3 linked regions of the Oryctolagus cuniculus genome follow. The protein of the gene in region 1 interacts with the protein of each later gene in a pairwise test. Links are inferred from orthologs where the notes say so. Each region holds a gene or a part of one and is shown in the gene's direction. Other genes may lie near its edges.

What was found. The genes of interacting proteins can lie anywhere in the genome.
Region 2: the proteins of TRIM27 (region 1) and ARHGEF5 interact in binary tests that used the Homo sapiens proteins (3 or more experiments, as listed by UniProt). The two-hybrid records come from large-scale screens. The link is inferred for Oryctolagus cuniculus from reciprocal best matches to the Homo sapiens genes TRIM27 and ARHGEF5.
Region 3: the proteins of TRIM27 (region 1) and PRPF31 interact in binary tests that used the Homo sapiens proteins (3 or more experiments, as listed by UniProt). The two-hybrid records come from large-scale screens. The link is inferred for Oryctolagus cuniculus from reciprocal best matches to the Homo sapiens genes TRIM27 and PRPF31.

What each region holds. Positions count from the first base shown.
Region 1 is NC_091436.1:154,132,092-154,135,873, reverse strand, and holds part of TRIM27 (zinc finger protein RFP), read left to right. Parts: intron 1-3,310; coding exon 3,311-3,541; intron 3,542-3,782. UniProt on the Homo sapiens protein: E3 ubiquitin-protein ligase that mediates ubiquitination of various substrates and thereby plays a role in diffent processes including proliferation, innate immunity, apoptosis, immune response or autophagy.
Region 2 is NC_091434.1:179,402,210-179,405,991, reverse strand, and holds part of ARHGEF5 (rho guanine nucleotide exchange factor 5), read left to right. Parts: intron 1-1,924; 5' UTR 1,925-1,936; coding exon 1,937-3,782. UniProt on the Homo sapiens protein: Guanine nucleotide exchange factor which activates Rho GTPases. Strongly activates RHOA. Also strongly activates RHOB, weakly activates RHOC and RHOG and shows no effect on RHOD, RHOV, RHOQ or RAC1.
Region 3 is NC_091449.1:4,557,602-4,561,383, reverse strand, and holds part of PRPF31 (U4/U6 small nuclear ribonucleoprotein Prp31), read left to right. Parts: intron 1-1,257; coding exon 1,258-1,347; intron 1,348-2,206; coding exon 2,207-2,334; intron 2,335-2,420; coding exon 2,421-2,493; intron 2,494-2,796; coding exon 2,797-2,925; intron 2,926-3,005; coding exon 3,006-3,104; intron 3,105-3,782. UniProt on the Homo sapiens protein: Involved in pre-mRNA splicing as component of the spliceosome. Required for the assembly of the U4/U5/U6 tri-snRNP complex, one of the building blocks of the spliceosome.

The sequences.
Region 1 (3,782 bases):
GATTCCACCACTTGCTCTGCCCACACAATCTGCTGAGACCACAGTTCCCCTTACTTTCAAAAGAGATTTCATGGATGAAGAATATTCTTCATGAACCTGAGTCCACTTCAATCATAGTGCACACAAAAATTGTCTTCTGGGCAGGATTGTCAACAAGGAGACACAGCCGTTCTCTGAAATCCGGCCACCTGGATGTGCGTCTTGGCTCTCATACTAGCCATTTGATTATCACACTTCACCTGGGAAATGGGTAGGTTGGGGGGCTGGCATTATGGCAGAGTGGGTAAGGTGACTGGGGAGGGTAGAATGGGGGTGCTACATGTCCTGTTATGTGAAAAACAGCCCCATGCTAAACAACATTGTCCCAGCCAGCATGCCAGTGGCAAGCCCCTTGAGAAACACTGGTACTTGACCTTTAAGTTTTCTTTCAGGTTTAATTTTTCTGTTTCTGAGATTGTATTTTATGGTGTGTCTTTGAAAAGACTTAGCCAGTGGCGAAGAGGCATGAGCTTGGGAAAAGGATTTATAAATGAAGGGGTGTGTGTCACCAAGTTGTATAGTGAGTGCCTGGAAGGGGGCTAGAGGGACGGTCAGCATGGGGTGTGTCTCAGAAGGGTTTGAATTTAGAACCCGTGTTGGCAAACTCCCCACAAAGGGCCAGATTGTACATATCTGTAGCTTTGGGGCTCTATGGGTCCAGTCCCAACTAATCAGTAATGTTGTGGCTCAAAAGCAGCCACAGCCAATATGTAAATAGGCAGGGCTGTGTTTTGATAAAAGGTTGTTGGATTCTTTTAGAGCCGTTTGCTGACCCATTGTTTAGAACAGAATTTTTTTTTAAAAGATTTTTTTTATTTACTTGAAAGGCAGTTGGGGAGAGAGAGGGAGGGAGGGAGGCAGGGAGAGAGGGAAGGAAGGAGGAAGAGAGAGAGAGAGGGAGGGAGGGAGGGAGGGAGGGTAGAACACAATTTTAGCAGTGCTGACTATAGGGCATGGGGGTAGAGAAGGAAGGGAAGACAAACTGTGTCGGATAAGTCAGCAGCAAGAGGAAACTGCCCTTCCCCCAAAGCCAGGGAGGCAGGGTGGCTGGTGAAAGCCCTGAGCAGAGAGGTTTGGAATCTGGGCCCAAGGAGACTGGTCAGTGAAATTGTGCTTCCTTGGTGCAGGCCATCCTGCACAGGGCATGCCTGTGTCTGGCCTGTCCTTTCCCTGGGCCATGGTCTTTCTCTCAGTTGCTCAGTTGGGGTAAAGTTCTTACCCCTTACCCTCCAGGAAAGGTGTGACCTGGTCTTTTTACCTTTTCTGGTCTCTGCTGCAGCCAGACAAAACCATTTGCCTGCTTGTCTCCACTTTTGCTGTGCCATTTATTCTGCCTGGAAGGTCTTCCACTTGTTGCCTGTATAGTGAACTCCTGTTCTTCCTGTAATGCCTGGTTTATACATTGCTTCTGTTAAGACAGTACTACCTTCCCCTACCACATGCTGTTACCTTTCTTTTTTTTTTTTTTTAAATGAAGCTTTGTTTTGCCAAATGTACAATTTCCAAAGTTTGGTTTTTCCCCCCACATGTTGCTTGTTTATGCATCTTCAGCAGCTAGGAATAGTCCCCTGGTATTCCTTGAGCTCTATGCCCTTTTTTTTTTTTTTTTAAGATTTATTATTACTAATTTGAAAGGCACAGTTATGAAGAGAGAGAAAGGGAGAGGCAGAGAGATCAAGATTTTTCATCTGCTGGCTCACTCCTCAAATGGCTGCAACAGCCAGGGCTGGGCCAGACCAAAGCCAGGAGCCAGAAGCTTCTTCAGGTCTCCCACGTGGGTGCAGTGCTGCCCTGAGCTCTGTGCATTGAAACCAGTTGTATTAACCTTCTGCTGAGGAGCTCTTGAAGAGCTGCCTTGGTGAGGGAGCTGAGAATCTGGTCTCTCAGAGACCACAGCTGGGTCTGTAAACTGACAGTAACTTCTGTAACAGAATGTATCATAAGTAGCTTTGTCAAAGAAGTCTAGGTTATTAAAAGTGCCCTGAACTGTGCCTTTGTACCATTTCTTCTGCTTGGTCTTGTGCCTAGATTTGTTCATGGGGTCTTTACCTTTTTTTTTTTTTTTTTTTTTTTTTAATGTTTTATATTATTTACTTGAAAGGCAGAGTTACAAAGCACTGTGGCTTAGCAGGTTCATCCTCTGGCTGCAGTGCCAATGCTGGTTTGAGTCCCTGCTGCTCCACTTCCAATCCAGCTCTCTGTTAACAACCTAGGAAAGCAATGGTAGGGAACCTAGAAGACGCTCCTGGCTCCAACCCAGCTCCGGCTGTTGCAGCCATTTGGGGAGTTAACCGGTGATTAAAAGATTTGTTTCTCTATCTGTAACTCTGCCTCTCAAACTAATAAATAAATCTTAAAGAGAGAGAGAGATATCTTCCATCTGCTGGTTCACTCCCCAAATGGGCCATCTTTGTGGCATTCCAAGAAACATTAGTAGGGAGCTGGATCGGAAGTAGAGCAGCCAGGACTAACCAGCACCCACATGGGATGCCAGCACTGCAGGCAGCTGCTTAGCCTGCAATACCACAACACCGGCCCCAAGAGTCTTTACTTTTCTTATCCAACTTCTTTTTTTTTTTTAAGGAGTTATTTATTTGAAGGCAGAGTTACAGGGAGGGAGAGAGAGGTCTTACACCTACTGGTTCACTCCCCAGATGGCTGCAGTGGCTGGAGCTGTGCCAATCCAAAGCTAAGAGCCAAGAGCATCTTTGGGTCTCCCACGTGGGTGCAGGGGCCCAAGGACTTGGGCCATCTTTCACTGCTTTCCCAGGCCATAGCAGAGAGCTGGATCGGAAGTGGAACAGCTGGGACTAGAACCAGCGCCCATATGGGATGCCAGCACTGCAGACGGAGGCTTTACCCACTATGTCACAGCACCGTCCCCTTTTATCCAGCTTTACAACATCTTTCTTGGCATCCTGGTGAAGTTCAGTGAGAAACGACAACCATCACAGCTTTGCTAAGATGTGGGACAGAAAGGCTGTCACCTTTTCTTTAACTCCCCATCCGTGAATGCACCATACGAACCTGACTTGCTGGACTGAGTTCCTTAGCAGCAGAGACTATGCCTTAATTATCACTGGGGTAACTCAGTTCCAGGGCAGCATATGTCTAGTGAGTAAGACAGAAATAGTGAGTGAGTGAACAGTGTTGTTTGAGTATCCCAGGATAAAATGATGTGTTTTCGGAGTGAGTGGTCGTGGAAGGAATGTGAAGGGATCTAGAAGGGAGCTTCTCCTCTCCTTACTGCCCTTCTCTGTCATCTGCACAGAGCCTGACCCAGATGGAGAGGGAGAAAATTGTCTGGGAGTTTGAGCAGCTCTATCACTCTCTGAAGGAGCATGAGTACCGCCTCCTGGCCCGCCTTGAGGAGCTCGACCTGGCCATCTACAACAGCATCAACGGGGCCATCACCCAGTTCTCCTGCAACATCTCCCACCTCAGCAGCCTGATTGCCCAGCTGGAGGAGAAGCAGCAGCAGCCCACCAGGGAGCTCTTGCAGGTAAGGTGTGGAGAGCCATGCTCAGGCAGTTCCCCCTAGAAATAGTCTCCCCTCTCCTTTGCCAAGGTGAACCCAGGACCCTGTCTCCTTGTCAGCTCGGCAGGCATAGCAAGGGCTTGCCAAGCTCTGCATTGGTGTGGTGGAAGGAAACCATGTACATCAAGCTCTGAGTGATAGAACTTGAATCAGTCAGCAGCATTGTCTCATGGAAGGATAAAAGGATGATACTGTCCGGGCCTGC
Region 2 (3,782 bases), on another chromosome or scaffold:
AGAAAAGAATTCTATTCTTTATGTGAAAAATATTTGTTAGGATCTTATATTTGCCAGCTTTGGGCTAGGTGTAAGCATTTGAACAGGATAAAGTTTTGATCTCATGAAATTTACCTCATCTTGGTTTGAGATAAAAGGTAAATCAAAATGCACACATAATTATATAATTATTATTGTATATGTGCTACAAAGGAGAAATAAAGTGAAATATGGTTGATAAGTACAACAAAGAGAAGTACAATTTAACCTAGTGAGAGGATTAGGGAAAACTTAAGGGGAAAACCAGGAAAATACAGTACCACGCATAATAAGAATCAATATTTCTCACATCAATAGTGTTAAATTCTGACAAGAATCATCCAGAGTAAAGGTCCAAAGAGCCTTCTGTGGAATCAATAATATGGAGATGGTTGGGGACGTTGGCAGAATGGCGCTTCTGGAAGCTGGGTTGGAGGCAGGTGTCTGGGATGTGAAGACAGCAGATAGGGGCAAATCCTTCTAGGTGTTTGAAAGATGAGAGAGACGTGGGAATGCTTGAATACTAGTGGAGTGGTTCTAGCAGAAAAGTTGAAGGCCTGAGAGACAGAGAGAGATAACCCATAGTAAGAGGTCCCTGAAGAGGTGGGACAAAGAGGAAGGACACCTCTTGCATTTTCTGAGGAGGGATATAAAAAGAGCAGGAACACTTCTCACTTTGGATTGCAAGACATTGAAGCAGATCCACTTCATTGGATTCTGAATTCTTTGCAAATTAAATGAGATGTTTTGCTAGCAGTGAGAAGAAAGGCAGGGAGGTCCAAATTTTTAGCGATAATACAGAGTTCACATGGGTCTTGGAGAGAGAAGGAGAATAAAATAATGAAAATAAGTGTTCTGGACCTCACTGATGTTGATAACAGTTGTGTCTATCAGAGTCTCAATCTAGTGAGTCTGGATATCATTTCACTTTGCAACAATTATCTCTGTAATTGAAAATAAAATTGTTCCTGCATGACAGTGCTCCCCTAGACATTCTAAACCTGGTGTAAAGAAACTATAGTACTTTGCACATTGGCTGTGGTAACCTGACCTATTTAAATCTGATGTGAATAGCTTGGGAGGAAGATTCCTCTTCTGATACTGTTTTTCTGGGCTGTTAGATATATGGTGTGTCATACACAGTGTCTGGAGTAACAAGAGGCTGAGTCACTTTGGGTGTCCAAAGGATAGACACAGAGAGACTGAATTTGACATATGCTATTAATAGTCTAGAGGAGGGGCTGCCGCCTACGTGCAGGTATCTCATATGGGTGCCAGTTCAAGTCCTGGCTGCTCCACTTCCAATCCAGCTCTCTGCTATGGCCTGGGAAAGCAGTGGGAGATGGCCCAAGTGCTTGGGCCCCTGCACCCTCTTGGGAGACCCAGAAAAGGCTCCTGACTGCTGGCTTCGGATCTGCTCAGCTCTGGATGTTGTGGCCATCTGGGGAGCGAACCAGTGGATGGAAGACCTCACTCGCTCGCTCTCTCTCTCTCTGCCTCTGCCTCTCTGTAACTCTGGCTTTCAAATAAATAAATAAATCTTTAAAAATAGTCTAGAGGAAAATGACCACTCAGAGCATTTAGCAGTCTTGCAAATGGTCTTATGCCCAAATTTGACACCTCGTAATTCCCCTGAATCACCCATAAGGCTGTAAACTCCATGAAAACAAGATCATTGTCCCATTTACTACTGTATACTTAAAAGGGTCAGCAGTTAAATGTTTATTAAATGAATAAGAAATGGAAAGTTTTATAGGGGCTATAGCTTATTGTGCTGGGTACCACTTGTCTCAAAGAATAACAATGAATGGAACCTAGGAAATGTGTCACTCTTCTTTATGGTCCCTCCCTCTGAGAGGTGAAAGCAGACAAGGTGTCACAAACCGTTGTCTTTATTCTTCCTTAGCATTCAGCCCTGATGGATGCTGAGGAGCCTCAGTATGGAACCTCCACCCCCATCCCTGCCAAAGAGGAATTCAGCGTTACCCCTGAAGCTCTCATGCGAAGCAGCCAGATCCCTGCCTTGGGACCAGAAGCTCAAGAAGGCCAGGACCTATGCAATAACTGGGACGAGGGGCAGAGACTCTCAGCGACCCAGCCAAGCGAGTTAAGGGATGTGAGTGACTATGCAGCCGAGACCGTGCCTTCTTTCCCCAAGGAAAGTTCCGTGGAGGTGGACAGCGATCAGGAAACCTTTGTGGCTGAGGTCAGCAACACTCCAGAGCTGCAAGAGCCAATGGCCCAGAGCCTGGCAGATGAACAAGCAAGGATCCCAGCTCCATCAGAACTCCAGTACCATCCTATACAGAGTGAATGCCCAGGCATGGTCCCAATATCCAGTGATTTGGGCAGCAGAGTGGAGAAGGAATTTCAACCAGAACTGACTTCTTTGACATTGGAATTTGAACAAGCAGAAGAGAAGGGGCAGACCTCTCCTGGTAGTTCTCAAACAATGTTTTGGCCTCTGTGCAAAGAGCCCACCACAGAGACCAACCAGGCTGAAGGTTCTGAAAGCAGGATTATCCCGCAGGGGGAGAAGCTGCAGTTGGAGGAGGTTCAGGAAAGTCGAGGGCAAGAAGAGCCATTGCATCCCCAGGGAGCTCAGGGGCTGGAGGATTTGGGACAACAGACAGTGGAGTCTCAGGGGACAGAAACTCTGCAGAATGTTTCTTCTGATGGACTTTGGGAAGAGCAAGAACAAATGGTAGAGCAGGTGACTGGTAATGAGGAAGAAGAAAGGCAAAAAAAGGAACAGGTCCAGGAAGATGGGATACTGGGAAGACAAGGAGAAACAGAGAGGCTGGTTGAGGAACTGGAAGGTCTGAATTGTGGTGAGCAGGATGAAGAGCATAGGGAAAAGAATGCTGAGCATCAGAAAGGTCCAGAACAGGCAGAGCAAGCAAAGAGGGAATTGAGCGGGCCAGAGAAGAGGAGGGTCAGCTCTCAGGACATGGAGTGTCAAAGCTTGGTGGGCAGATCAGAGGAAATAACTAGACAGCAAGAAGGTGAGGGTCTCATGGGAAAAGTGATGTCAGTGGAGGGGCAGGAGGAGGAGGAGGCATTGTCAGATGAGCAGGAGCCAGGAAATTGGGATGGGAGCTTGCAGGGAGCAGTGGGAGAAGAGAGATCAGAAGAGGAGGAAGAGCACCATGGGCCTCCCACACTGGTGCTGGTACCCTCTGAGATCTCTTCTCCCTTTGACTTCTTTCCAGATGGCTCTTATCCCATGACTCAGGTTCCTGGGACTCAGATGGAGCCCAGGGCTGTGGAACTGTCCCCCATAGTTCTGACCCCTTTACTGGAGCCAATAGAATGCTCCCACCAGCCTGTTTCTCTACCAGACTGCTTTCCTAAAGTGGAATCACCTGACAATGAAACGGCTCAAGACACTGAAACAGCTCAAGAGAGCCAGCAAGAAGAATCTGAACTGAGTAAGGAGACAGCATCCAGCCAGGGGACTGAGGTGGTCCCGGGTGATACATCTGTGACTCCTTCAAGGACATTGGATGCAGCTTTATCCAGTCCAGCTGAAGTCTCTACTATCACAGCTGCATCATCTACCAGTCCCCCAAGTCCTTCTCCCAGGAGTGAGACCTCCAGAGCCCCTCTCTCTACTGACAGTCCATCTCTCTGTGAGGCTTTCAAGATTCCCCTGGATACCCTCCATGGTTTCCCCTCTGCAGAGGCCACCATGAATCCATGTGCCAGCTCCAACAGATCCAGCCTTCAGAGCCCTCCAGCCAACTGCACAGGGGCCATCCAAC
Region 3 (3,782 bases), on another chromosome or scaffold:
TGGTGTTTTCCTGCACGTGGCATCTCTGCTTTCACCGCCCGTTGTAGAGATGGGGAAACTGAGGCACAGAGCCTCAGCACCTTGTCCAGGGTCTGAGTCTCCCGGATTCCCACCTTCACTGCCTTCAGTGTCCTGGGCCCCTGGCTCCCTCGGGCTCATCCTGGGGCGCGAGGACTGATGGGAGCCAGAGCCGCTGCGGGACAGATGGCCTGGCTGTCCCCGGTGCTGGCTCCCGTCCCTCGTGTGGACGGCGTTTCCTGGCCGCGTGCCTCGCCCCGCCCATCACTGTCCTCCAGTCCGCAGGCAGCAGACGGGAACGGATCCCAGGGTGCCAGCAGGCCGCCCAGAATCCCAGGCCCTGGAGCCCGGGCGCTGCCCCCCACCACCTGCGCACTGCTGCCCAGAGCCAGGCCCTCCGCAGGCCACGCTGCTGCCCTGTGGCTGAGGGCCCCTCCCGCCCGTGCTGTTCCAGCTCAGTTCCTGCACAAGCCGAAGACACCACAGCATGGCCCGCTTGGTGGCCGGGAACCTCAGTGTCCACATGTTTTTTAGAAGGTTTTATTTATTTACTTGAGAGGCAGAGTTACAGTCAGAGAGATCTCTCAGCCACTGGTTCACTCCCCAAATGGCTGCCACGGCCAGAGCTGTGCCGATCCAGAGCTGGGAGCCAGGAGCTTCTTCCGGGTCTCCCACGTGGGTGCAGAGGCCCAAGGACTTGGGCCATCTTCCACCGCTTTCCTAGGCCATAGCAGAGAGCTGGATCGGAAGCGGAGCAGCTGGGACACGAACCAGACCCATACGGGATGCCGGCGCCACCGGCAGCCAGAGCCTTAGCCCACTACGCCACAGTGCGGCTGCAGGTTCCACGTCTGCCAAGTGGGGGCGCTGACTGCAGCAGCCTGGTGCTCGAGCATCTGATGAGGGTCCGTGTGCAGGGCGAACCTGCACAGCAGGGTTGAGAACAGGCTGCAGGTGCTCCCCCGGGAACCTCCGCGTCCTCCTCTGGGCTCCGCCCTCAGCCACAGCGACCCCAGCACACGGCTCCTCCGGCCCTGGCCTCCTTCCCACGATGGGAGGGGGCTGTTGGGAGCAGGGGCCGTGTGTGTGTGTGTGTGTGTGTGTGTGTTAGAGAGAGAGAGAGAGGTCCTCGTGTGTGTGTGTGTGTGTGTGTGAGTGAAGCCCCCTCGGGGAGGAGCAGCCCTGTCTCTGTCCATCTGTCCGGCTCACAGACTCCGCGTCCCCCTGCCGTTGCTCTAGGATCTGCGGCGGAAAGCAGCCCGGCTGGTGGCCGCCAAGTGCACGCTGGCAGCCCGCGTGGACAGTTTCCACGAGAGCACGGAGGGGAAGGTGAGGCTCGCTCTGGGGACCCAGCCCAGGAGCACTGCCCTGACGGGGCACACACACCCCTTCCCTGGCTCGGAGCTCCTGTCTGTCTCCAGAGCCAGCCAGGAGCCCCTGCAGACCCCCCCTCCGTCAGGGACCTCGTGACCCCAGGGCGCCCTCCCCACCCCACAACCCCAGCCACACCCCTCTTGCCTTGTGATGTCAGCCGTTCCGGGCCAGGACCTGGGCCCTGCTGGCTCTGTGCTCTCGGCAGCCGCACCTGCCGTCCTGGGCATTGCTGTGTGCCGGCTCCCAGCCCGGCAGTGTTCAGGTGCCCAGCCGCCACCCCTGCACACACGCACACAAAGCCCCGCCTCTGGGGCTCCCACTCCAGTAGGGGCTGGGGCAGCAGCCAGGTGACACTTGCCCCACAAATGCCAAGAAGAAGAACAGCATCTGGGGTGTGAGGGGTCGGCGGGAGGGCTTCTCTGGCCAGGAAGTTCTGCCCTGCACCCGAGTGCAGTCAGCGTCAAGTCCCAGGGCCCCTGGGGGAAGTTCCAGGTGGGACGGTCAGTGCAGGCGGCCTGAGGCTGGAGCCCCCCCAGCCCCCGGGGGGTGAGGCGGTGATGGGGCACCTTCTGTGCCCTCGGGAGGACCTGGCACCTTGGAGGTGCTGAACAGGGGCCTGCGGGACCTGAGGGCGGTGCCGGGAGAGCAGCAGGCATCGCGGGTGTGAGCTGGACGACCGGCCCACCCACTGTCCGGGGCTGAGAGCTTGGTCAAGCAGCAGCTTCAAAGGGCACCCAAGAGCCGCCAAGGCCGTCGGGTGCTGCGGGCTGATGGCCCGTGGTGCAGCCGCCCCCGCCTCCCTGTCCCCCCCCAGGTGGGCTACGAGCTGAAAGACGAGATAGAGCGCAAGTTCGACAAGTGGCAGGAGCCGCCCCCCGTGAAGCAGGTGAAGCCGCTGCCTGCGCCCCTCGATGGGCAGCGGAAGAAGCGAGGCGGCCGCAGGTGAGAGACCCGGGGGGCGCGGGCGGGGGCCTCCGAGAGGAAGAGGCCCGAGCTCTCTGCCCGCGCGTGACCCGCCGCCTTCCCAGGTACCGCAAGATGAAGGAGCGGCTGGGGCTCACGGAGATCCGGAAGCAGGCCAACCGCATGAGCTTCGGGGAGGTGGGCCCCGCCCCTCACCCAGGGCCCCCAGTCCTGCCCCGTCCCCGCCCCCCCCACCCAGGGCCCCTCTGGCTCTCCCCTTCCGCTGCCCACCCTCACCAGGCTCCCAGGACCCAGGCCTACCGGCCTCCCAGGCTCAGCCACACCCGCCCCCTGTGCTCTGAGCATCCTCTGGTCCTGCGGCTGGGCTCAGTGCCCCCAGTGCTGAGACCTGTGCTGCCCTCGCACCCTCTCCCCCCAAGCATGAGAGAGGGCGCTGTGTGCTGAGGGCCCCCACCTGACTGCGGGCACCCCCCCCCCCAGATCGAGGAGGATGCCTACCAGGAGGACCTGGGCTTCAGCCTGGGCCACCTGGGCAAGTCGGGCAGTGGGCGCGTGCGGCAGACGCAGGTGAACGAGGCTACCAAAGCCAGGATCTCCAAGACGCTGCAGGTATGGGCGGGGCCCAGGTGGGGGCGGGGTGAGGGACGGGGGCGGGGCTGCCCCTTCATCCCGTGCCCTCCCACCCACAGCGGACCCTGCAGAAGCAGAGCGTGGTGTACGGCGGGAAGTCCACCATCCGTGACCGCACCTCAGGCACAGCCTCCAGTGTGGCCTTCACGCCCCTGCAGGTACGGCTCGGGCCGCCCCCCACCAGGGCCTGCTGGGGGGGTGGGGGGCAGCCAAGCTCCTTCCCTTTCCCCGCGAGGCAGCGGCACGATGGGGTCCCCTCTCCCTGGCCATGTGGTCCCGGCACAGTAGGTGTGAGGAGGGTGTACAGACCAGCCCCAGACTGAGGCCTGGGGCTGCCCAGTTCCTGGTGCGGGCGACCGCCCCCTCTGGGGCTCCAGGCGGTCACGAGAAAGCTGCCAGGTGGGCTTGGGTTCCCACTTGGGTTCCGTCCGAGCCGCCACACCTGTCCGCGGCTCCGTGCAGTCACCACACGGCAGCGTGCCCCATGGTGATGGGTGACGTCCCCACGCTCCCTTGCCCAGCCAGGGAGTGTCCACTGGGCGCCCACCAAGTCCCAGGAGCGTCGGGCTCTGGGGAGGAGGTGAAGAGCAGAGGAGACAGCGCGGGTCGGTGGGACCGTGGGACACAGGCGCCCGGGCAGCGGGAGCAGGACCCAGAGGCCCTCGTGGGAAGAACCACCGCTGGGCGCGGCTTCGGCCGCAGCCCCCTGGGGCTCTGTTCCCGGGCGGGATGTCGCCTCTGTCCAGGGGACCGGAGACTCCCAGGGACTGGGCCCAGCTGAAGCCTGGACACCCTCGGGAGGCTCTCTGGCGTCCCCACCCCCCACGGTCCCCTCT